Linked DNA regions of Zea mays. The protein of the gene in region 2 binds, or shares a complex with, the protein of the main gene of each other region. Links are inferred from orthologs where the notes say so. Each region holds a gene or a part of one and is shown on either strand. Other genes may lie near its edges.

Evidence for each region. Proteins that work in one complex are often made in the same cells at the same time.
Region 1: rps4 (region 2) and 30S ribosomal protein S31, chloroplastic-like share a complex: the UniProt entries of both Arabidopsis thaliana proteins name them as parts of the 30S ribosomal subunit. The link is inferred for Zea mays from reciprocal best matches to the Arabidopsis thaliana genes rps4 and PSRP4.
Region 3: rps4 (region 2) and 30S ribosomal protein S6, chloroplastic-like share a complex: the UniProt entries of both Arabidopsis thaliana proteins name them as parts of the 30S ribosomal subunit. The link is inferred for Zea mays from reciprocal best matches to the Arabidopsis thaliana genes rps4 and AT1G64510.

Annotation. Positions count from the first base shown.
Region 1 is NC_050098.1:170,389,842-170,393,952, reverse strand, and holds 30S ribosomal protein S31, chloroplastic-like, read left to right. Parts: upstream 1-1,536; 5' UTR 1,537-1,594; coding exon 1,595-1,790; intron 1,791-3,007; coding exon 3,008-3,072; intron 3,073-3,154; coding exon 3,155-3,286; 3' UTR 3,287-3,499; downstream 3,500-4,111. Other genes in the region: putative RING zinc finger domain superfamily protein, read left to right, coding at 37-247.
Region 2 is NC_001666.2:46,522-49,189, reverse strand, and holds rps4 (ribosomal protein S4), read left to right. Parts: upstream 1-1,427; coding exon 1,428-2,033; downstream 2,034-2,668. UniProt on the Arabidopsis thaliana protein: One of the primary rRNA binding proteins, it binds directly to 16S rRNA where it nucleates assembly of the body of the 30S subunit. With S5 and S12 plays an important role in translational accuracy.
Region 3 is NC_050096.1:303,987,711-303,991,203, forward strand, and holds 30S ribosomal protein S6, chloroplastic-like, read left to right. Parts: upstream 1-1,326; 5' UTR 1,327-1,441; coding exon 1,442-1,864; intron 1,865-2,511; coding exon 2,512-2,757; 3' UTR 2,758-2,881; downstream 2,882-3,493. UniProt on the Arabidopsis thaliana protein: Binds together with bS18 to 16S ribosomal RNA.

The DNA of each region.
Region 1 (4,111 bases), on a different chromosome or scaffold from region 2:
GCTGAACGCTGTAACCTGGATGTTCCGTGACTGCAGGTACACAAGGTCCCAGTCATGCCCGTTCTGCCGCGGGAGCCTGAAGAGGGTCCGGTCCAGAGACCTGTGGGTGCTCACCGGCGACGACGACGTGATCGACACGGTGACGCTGGAGAAGGAGAACGTGAAGCACTTCCTCAGCTTCATCGACAGCCTGCCCCTGATCGTCCCCGACAACATGCTGCTGGTCTACTACGACTACCTAGTCTAGCAAGGCTCCTCCCCCCACCCCCCACTCTGAAGCTCTGGAAGAGGAAGGGGGTCTGGGAAGAAGACGCGGCGTACAAGCGACAAGGGTTACCCGCAGCCGACCATCCTCTGCGGATCGAGTTGGCAAAGCGAAGCCGTTGCCGACCAACAGACGATACTCTCGTGGGCATGCCACGCCGTTGCGCTGGCTTTATTGCATGGTGGCGTTGCTCGCTGTAATGGTTGTAAATAAAGAAGGAAAATGTCTCGGGTTTTATATATAATATACTAGCTTGACATTTCTCGTCTGGCGAATTGCCGGACTGTTCAGAATGAAGAAATCAGGGGGCCTCTACTTCTCTGCTCTATATATATCGTCTTCAATTCTCGTGGCCACCTGCACCATTCATAATCGTGAGCGTTGTTGAGGATTCATCCGTTCCTCTCCTTCTAGAGGTTCCAGAAGAAAGAAGACACATGTGGTCAGGTCATGCCATCGAACCGTCTCCACTCCGTGCAAGGCACTTTGCTTGAGGCGTTCTCCCACCACTACATTTTGGCCATCGGTTTTTTATTCATGATTGGGCACTGAAACTGAAACTCTGCTCGGTTGACATGAACCTGATAGCGACCGTTCAATCTGTGCTGTACAGTAGTGCACAGGTGAGTGCCTGACAGTGACCTTGGCAACTCCTCCATTCGGTATTTCGGTTGCTGAAATGAATTGGAATCGCTCCAGCCACACGCTCCCAAATACTACTAACTCCAGCTCCAGGACCGAAAATTGCCTGCACGGGGGTGGGGGACAGCTCGGGGCCGCTCCTTGACGCTCACCCTACCCTCAGGGTTTGTTGATGCACAAGCCATGAGCTCATCCAGTCCGGAAAGCTGGCACCTTGCACGGGTGGTGCCGTGAGGCCGGCCACCATGGGTTCAAGTGTCTGCCTCCACCAGTCCACCGCCGAAATCGAGATTCGAGAAGGACCAGAACCCTAACTCAGCAGGAGAAGCACGGGCCGGAGAACGACGCTGGAGCATCTAGGGTTTTGTTTTCTGTTAGCATGAATCAAAGCTAAGCTTTGGTCATCTTAATTATATTAATTATCAAAAAAAAGAAAGAGAAAGAAAAGGATCCAAGACCTGACCAGACTCGACGACGGCCTGGCTAGGTGTGTGCACCATACTTTACAGTAATGGCCGATAAGGTTACTTCTGGCCCAGCCCACACCAGCCCTGCAGCCCATCTTAGATGTGCGCTGTGGCTCCAACTGCGAGCCCTTTTATCCCTTATCCAACCTGATCCACCACACCACCATTCCCGAGCACACTAGTCTCTCTTCCCTGCGCTTGCTCGCTCCTTCTTGCCCCCATGGCGCTGCTCGCCGTCCAGGGCATGGCCATGTCCACCGCCGCCGCGGCCCTCCCATCTCACAACCACGGCGCCGTCTCATCCTACGTCTCCACCTCCTCCTACGCGCTCGCAGCCTCCGCCGCCTTCCCCCGCGCCCGGGCTGCGTTCGCCGTCGGCGCCGTCTTGTCGGCCACCGTCACTCCAGTTCTTGACGGTAATTAAACAGCTACCTCCTCACTCCCCTTGTTTTTGTCCGATGTAGGAGTAGTTTCTTTCTAACACATGTCACGAGCAATGGCTACTGTTTTCCACGCAATAAGGGAGAAAAGGCAATGACTACTATTACACTGACACTTGGGAAATTCGTTCCAATTCAATCGGGATTTTTCTTCTTTTTATGAAATAGTCAAGGGATTTATTACTGAAATGTACTCCCCAGAAGAGATGGAGGTTGTGATGCTGTTAGTCGATCTGGGTCAACTAGACTGACCAAGGAAAGCATCCAGTTTTTAACAAACTGGTTCATGAAAATTGTGGTGGTTCCAAATATACTAGCTTTTGTCCCAGTCTATAGAAGTTGGATTCTCAGTTTCTTAAAAACCAAGAAGCTAATCCCATCTAGCTAAAGGCAGTTTATAGAAATTGAGGTGGTTCTAAAAACTATTAACCAGTTTTTTTATAAATCACTTTATAGAAACTGAAGTTAGAAACTAGATTCTTAAAAACTAGGTTGCTTCCAAACATGGCCTAAGGGTCTGTTTGGAAGCACCTAGTTTTTTTTATAGAAATTGACGTGGTTCCAAACTAATTTATAGAAATTGGATTCCTAGTTTCTTAAAAAACCAAGAAGCTAGTCTTCTCTAGCTAAAATCAATTTATAAAAATTAAGGTGATTCTAAACACCATTAACCTTTTTTTTTATAAACTAGTTTCTAGAAACTGGATTCTTAAGAGCTTAAGTTGTTCCACACGAAAAAATTACGGTATCGAGGAGCAGGAGCATATATATGAACTGAAAACTACTACTGTAGTAGATTATTAAACCTTTACCGGTTGACTGATTCACTTCACACGGTGTCAGGAGTGAGTGCCAATCAAGGAAGCTGAATCTCTTGTTTATCACTACCGCCTATAGTTTTGGTCGTCTCTGTTGCCACTGGCCTCAGCTGTTGTAAACACTTGTTTCTGGTTTATTAATACAGAGAGTCAAAGATGGATGCTTCTCATGCGTGTACTTCAAAGAAGTTTTAGTTAATCATAATTTGAAATCAATTTCTGAAATTCTAGTGTCCATAGCCTGCTTCAGGATTTTATTCTCTGATTGTACTACGAACCCAACTGGGGTGCTGTCCCTTTTGGCCTCTGTTTATATCAATACTGATGATCCTGTGGACTGACAGACAGTTTTAAACTTTATCTGGTCTTGCTCAGTCTACTGCGGGAGAGGGGACAAGAAAACGAAAAGGGGCAAAAGGTTCAACCATTCATATGGCAATGTGAGTGCTCCAGCACAATTTACATCGCATTTTTGGTTTTTTCCCCCTGTTCTGTTTTATTTAGCTGTCTGATCATGTCTAGGCGAGGCCGCGCAACAAGAAGAAGGGAACTGGGCCTGCGCGGCTCTTTGCCCCTCCTGCTCCTCCAAGGAAGGATCAGTTCGATGATGGGGAGATCATTTCAATCGAGATTGACGAGGACATCCTGGAATAGGTTGTCCGAGTTCTGCCTTGCTTTATATTTGCCCTGAGCTTAATTGGCCTAGTTTGTACCAAATCAAATACTACATATTTTAAGTAATTATTTCCTCGCCTATAATTATCGATGGGTAGGCTGCCACACTTTCATTTGGCTAGTAATGTTCCTACTACTGACTGGGTTCTTTATTTTCCTTTCCAGCTGCTGAGTTCTTTACTCTCTTCAAAATGAAACTGTGTCGAAATAAGTTTTTTTTAGAAGATATTAAATGATTCATCTAGTGGTAACGGAGAGATTACACGTTTCATTTGTAAGGGGATTAATAAGATTTAATCTCTTTCAATCCTCTTCTAACCGAACAATCCAGCCCTAACAGGTAAAACAAAATCCAACTAGCGATTTATTCATACGTCAGCAATGTGCAAAGATCTTGCGTGCTGAACTAATGATCGTGTTGTGTTATTAATATGTGTTGCAATGATGTAAGTTTTGTTTCAAACTTCAGCTAACACTTTCAGGTCTCTTGCTATGCCAATCTCTCACGAGTGTCTCAGCAAAATATGATCCAAACAAGTTGCTGTCTCCAACTCAGCATATATGAATTTTTGCCGACTCCAACTCAGCATATAGAATTGTTTTTGCCGATACATAGCCAGAATTACAGCATAGTTGATAGAACAAAAAAAGGGAGCTGCTCGATTCTCCATCGGCAGGACCAACTTACACGAAATTTAACAGCAAAGAGACTAATTAACATACAAATATAAAGATAACCATCATCCCACATAGGAAGCATGTTTTTTGGATGTCCGAAAATAAGCTCTAACGAGCAAACCACAC
Region 2 (2,668 bases):
TACTTCGATTCGTTAGAACAGCTTCCATTGAGTCTCTGCACCTATCCTTTTCCTTTGGGTTCTAGTTTGAGAACCACTTGTTTTTCAAAAAAGGGATTTGGCTCAGGATTGCCCATTTTTCATTCCAGGGTTTCTCTGAATTTGGAAGTTACCACTTAGCAGGTTTCCATACCAAGGCTCAATACAATCAAGTCCGTAGCGTCTACCGATTTCGCCATATCCCCATTTTACTTTTCTTTGAAACCAGGATTCCTTGTATAATTTAATCCATCTCTTAGTTTTTTTTGAATCATTGAATTCATTATTCGACGTAGTCTAGCAACTCATCTCTATTTGAGACACCCCGCTCGCTTATTGCAATTCAGAATTGCATTGATTTTATCGTTGATATATTTGCAATTCAATCGGAATGAATATATCCAAAAGTTTTTCTCTCTCCCGCCTCCCTCCTTCCTTTTTTAGAGTATTCCAAATCATACTATAACGCTTGATATTCATTCTTTTTTTCTAAACTGAATTAGAAATTTCATTTGCTATGATTCTATCTTCTCCTTAGTGAACTATTTATCCTTAAATTATTAACAAATAAAAAAACAAAATATCTCAAAAATGTATATAATGATCAAATGAAAATGCCAATCTCTTGGCATTTTCTCTTTATTATATTATTCATATATATTCTTCTTTTTCTTCTTTTCTATGTATTAGATTATTCCTCCGAGCCATATCAAATTGAAAATATCTGAAATCAAATTCAATATAGAATTTGGAATAGATTCTATTAAAAAAATCCATTTGCGAATTAGAGAAATAAAAAGAAAGTTCAATAAATTCTATAATCCTATTTAAGAATATCATTTAGTTAAGCATATCAAGCTAACTTTATCTTTATGAAATTCTAGTATTTTTTTTTTTCTATCTAAGTGGAACTTCCAATTTAGAACTAGTTAATAACTAAGATTAATAATTAAGATCTGACATTTTACAGATTCCCTATATATATATTTTTATTTGTTACACTATTTCTGTTATGTAAGCCCACTTAGCTCAGAGGTTAGAGCATCGCATTTGTAATGCGAGGGTCATCGGTTCAAATCCGATAGTCGGCTTTTTTTTCTATCGATGTTCTATGAACAAGAATTTCTCTTTTTCTCCGAATAAAATGGGGAATCAGGGTCTATTATGTCGTTTTACCTTACAATTTTGCTAGATACAAAGCATAAAAATAAATAATATATATACAAAAAATCCAGATGTTGATGAAATTCCATTTTTTGTGTTACTCCATTTTTTGTGTTACTTTAGTAGATTTTACTCTGTTTATCCTTTAGTTTAATTCTGTTTGAATTTCGCTGTATTCTGTAATGTAAATAGAACGAAATTTATTGTGTAAAATGAAATTTCAATAAAATAAAAAAGGAGTCTTCATGTCCCGTTATCGAGGGCCTCGTTTAAAAAAAATACGCCGTCTGGGAGCTTTACCAGGACTCACTAGAAAAACGCCTAAATCCGGAAGTAATCAGAAAAAGAAATTCCATTCTGGGAAAAAAGAGCAATATCGTATTCGTCTTCAAGAAAAACAGAAATTGCGTTTTCATTATGGTCTGACAGAACGACAATTACTTAGATATGTACATATCGCTGGAAAAGCAAAAAGATCCACAGGTCAGGTTTTACTACAATTACTTGAAATGCGTTTGGATAATATCCTTTTTCGATTGGGTATGGCTTCAACCATTCCTGGGGCCCGACAATTAGTTAACCATAGACATATTTTAGTTAATGGTCGTATAGTTGATATACCAAGCTTTCGTTGCAAACCCCGAGATATTATTACTACGAAGGATAACCAACGATCAAAACGTTTGGTTCAAAATTATATTGCTTCATCCGATCCGGGCAAATTACCAAAGCATTTGACGGTTGACACATTGCAATATAAAGGACTAGTAAAAAAAATTCTAGATAGGAAGTGGGTCGGTCTCAAAATAAATGAGTTGTTAGTTGTAGAATATTATTCTCGCCAGACTTGAACTTAACGAAAAAAGGAAAGGTTCATAGAATTTTTTTCCCCTTCCCCTTTCCCCGAACTAAATCGACCTAAGGCTCTTAATTCGTATTTTCCCGTTCACCTAGCAGAAATAGATTAACCCTAGGATACTTTTTTCTTTTTTGTTATTTCCTCGATGTGTATTTTACATACCACAGTAATTTGCTATAGAGAATTTCTATTAATTAAAGGTATTATTGTTGGAATAAATTGTTATTTAATTTGATACATTGTGATCGCTAACATTGATGAATTAAGAGAAACGGAAAGAGAGGGATTCGAACCCTCGGTAAACAAAAGTCTACATAGCAGTTCCAATGCTACGCCTTGAACCGCTCGGCCATCTCTCCTACATAATCTTATTATGGAAAATAAACTGAGTGAATAGCGAGTTTTCGTATTCCTGCAGTACAGGTACAGCCACAACGGCTCGGGAATTCCATGGCTCTATTGGATTGGATGGAAAAATTCCTTTTCATCTAAGTGGAAGGATCCTGTATTTTTTTACTAGGAATTCTGCTCCCTCGAAAAGTTTTTCTTTGGGGAAAACCAAAATAAAAAGAGAATGGAAGAATTCTTCTTATTCCATAAGAAAATAAAGGAACCCTAGAATTCCAT
Region 3 (3,493 bases), on a different chromosome or scaffold from region 2:
CACCAAGAGAGTGGATCTAGCCTTTAGATCCCCCATTTTGGTAAATATAAATTTAGTGGATCTAGATCGTTTGACAAAGTTTTTCAAAAATTTAAATTATTTTTAGTGAATCTCAAATAAACTCATACTGTTGTTTCATTTGATATGGCTCCTTTTAGAAGGGCTCTAGCTCCTTATTTTATTGTCAGTAGAGTACCTTCTATGAAGCTGAAGTTTTTGTAAGTAAAAAAATGGGCTATTTAAATTTGTACCCTTAGTTTTGCTTCATTCCTTATTTTTAACCTTGGTCGTGTTTTTTCTTAGTTTTGCCCTACTACTCTATAACACTAGAAGGACAAAACTAAGTAAAAAAACACGACTAAGGGTAAAAATGAGAACACCAGCAAAACTTGGAGCAAAAGCTTAAAAAATCCAAAAATAAAAGCCATATTTCAGCATCGTGTCTCTTTTATAAAAAATGACTTTGACTTTTTGAGCTCTACAAGGAGTTGTTTTCGGCTATTGGCCCCTTTAAGAAGTCGTGAGAAAGTAGAGTCGAAGTCCTGTCAAATTGACCTACAATAGAATGTCTTCAGACCTTCACACAAAGTTTTTCGGTGTTCAAATTCACTAGATCTTTTATCTTGGTCCTGTTTGTTTCGGATTCTAGCAGCTTCTGGCCACCAAAAGCTGCTGCGGATTGCCAAACGCTCAGCTTTTCAGCCAGCTTCTATAAAATTCGTTGGGACAAAAACCATCCAAAATCAATATAAACACATAATCGGTTAAGTCGTTGTAATAGTATGAATTCATCACTTTCTAGATCCTGAGTCCTATGAACAACTTTATTTTCCTCCACACGTAATCGTAATGATACTCAGATTCTCCCCACAGCCAGATTCTCCTTACAGCCAGATTTTCAGAAAAGCTGGTCAGAAAAAAACTGAACCAAACAGGCCCCTTATATCTCGTATACAGAGAAGATTAGGTCTACTCTATATTTAGTCAATTCAACTGTTCGAGATTTTTTTAAAAAAATATAGGTCCGCTGTTGATATTGTATTTTAGCTGCCTAAATCTTTGGACAGCAAACTTAGATAATCAATTAGTATAATTAAAAGAATAATTTATACTTTTTCTATGGGTAAATAAAGGAAAACATACATGCTGCGTATATGACAACAAAAGAATCATACACATAAAACATAGAAGAAATGCATAACTACATATAGTTGAAATACACACAAAGTTAACGTTGTAAACAATTTTGGTTTAACTGGCAACCCGGCCGTTTTTCCACCAATATGAAAATCCGTGCAAACTCCAAACAGGGCGTGGCGTCCTATCCTTATCTATCGAGTGGACGCGACGCCAACAGCGTCAGCGCCTCCTCCCGCTCTCCGGCTCCTGTCCTGCTCGCGCTCGTCGCCCCCCTGCCGCTCGGCTCCCCTTGGCCCCTCCAATGCCGCCACCCATGGCACTGCTGCCGCTCTCCTCCGCATCCGCGTCCGCCGCGCTGCCGCCCTTCCGCTCCTGCCCGCCCGCTGCGATGCTGCTTCGCCTCCCCTCCCCCGCCCCCTCCCATTTCGCCCGCCCCCGCGCGGTCTCCACTGGGTACGCGGCGTCCTTCTACGGCGGCTCGGCGATGTCCGCGGCCGGCGGCGCGGACGAGGAGGAGGAGGTCGGCTACGAGTCGGGGTTCGGCCCGGGGCTAGGGCTGGGCGGCGGCGGCCTCGGGATGTCGGCCGCGGAAGCCGCGCTGGCGCTGGAGGAGCGCGAGATGCCGCCCTGCCCACCCGGCCTCCGCCAGTACGAGACCATGGTCGTGCTCCGCCCCGACATGTCCGAGGAGGAGCGCCTCGCCTTCATCCAGCGCTACGAGGAGGTAATTTGCGTTTGCCTCCGCTCCGTTTGGCTGCCACTATAGCTAACTGGATGGATGGAGCAGCGTAACACGGGCACGGCTCGATCGGCTCACCTCTGCCTCTTGCATATCTCGCTACCATTTGCTGTTCCGATGGCAGAGAGAGCAGACAGATGATAATTTCTGGACAGGCTGGTATCATACTTGAGCAATGCGAGACGAATGTTAAAAGGGTTCCGAGTGTTTCGAATTTCATCCAATAAATATTAGGATTTCTAAACGTATAAAAGTGGATCCGCCATAGTTAATTGCCATCCTATCCTGAATTCACCATGTATGTTAGGCACTGTTTCTGTTAGAAACTCACTCTAGTCTAGAGCTAATCAGTTTGTTCACATTGAAGTCAGATGCTGCGGCGGTAATATATAGAGACAAGAAACCGTTTCGGATTAAAGACAGGTGAACAGCTTGAATATATAGCAGTAGAGGTTTGAACACCCCCTACCTAATAACTCAGCTAATTTGTGAGTTAACAATCAGTCCATTAGCTGGTTTAACCTAGCTAACAATTTGTTAGTTCCAAACGGGCCCTTAATCGCTGTTATCAGTCACATGCCATCTGCGTACCATTCCAATCCAGCTCAGCTTGGTGTTTTCCTGTGCTGCAGCTGCTCGTCGCCGGCGGCGCCATGTACGTGGAGGTCTTCAACCGCGGTGTCATCCCGCTGGCATACAGCATCAGGAAGAGGAACAGCCGCACCGGGCTGCCGTCCACCTACTACGACGGCATCTACCTCCTCATCACCTACTTCACCAAGCCGGAGTCCATGGACGCCCTGCAGCTTAAGCTCAACGCCGACGACGACGTCATCCGCTCCACCAGCTTCAAGGTCCGCCAGCGGAAGGCCGTCTAGTTAGACGGGTTGCCTCCTCCGCCTTCAGGCCCTGAACACTGTTTTGTTCACATACCATACTACAAGAAATCTGCTGTACAAGAATCCACCTTTGCCATGATTGTTGAGTTTTTTTTTTTTGAATATGTTTCTTGTCTTGTGGTTCTCGAAAATGGACGTCCGGCCATCGTTCGCCAGAGAAACACCGCGCCTCCTAAAACCATCATGTTTCATCAGGTACCAAAAATAAAGGTCCGTAGCTAGGTAGCGTCGAGCCTGAGCGCGCTCCGGGGATGGAGAACAGTCCAAACCCATCGTAAATCTGCAACAGTACAAGCATATACAGTGCAATTTGTGGAAGAGATTCGTACAAGTACAACTTTCATTTGATTTCAGAGGCGTTTAAATACTCCACACTTCATTCCCATTTAGCGTCAAGTGCGTTGGTGTTTCCAAATATTCATTTGATGAAAGAGATGTTCTCGGCATATAACTAAACAGTACGACACTAGGACATGACATGATGCAGAACGCAGATTGGCTTTCGGATTTCTCGAGCAGGAACAGGAAACTTCGGAAGATAAGACACAAAGCACAACACAAACCAGAACAGACGCCAGCAATCCAAAATCTGTCAGCCATGGAGTAACATTTAGTATCTCTCATGGCGCCTGAAATCATAAACAAATACCTGGGTCAGTCAACGATGTGAGGCACAAGGGTTTCAAATAAAAAAGTGTGCCTATTATTCAGCAAT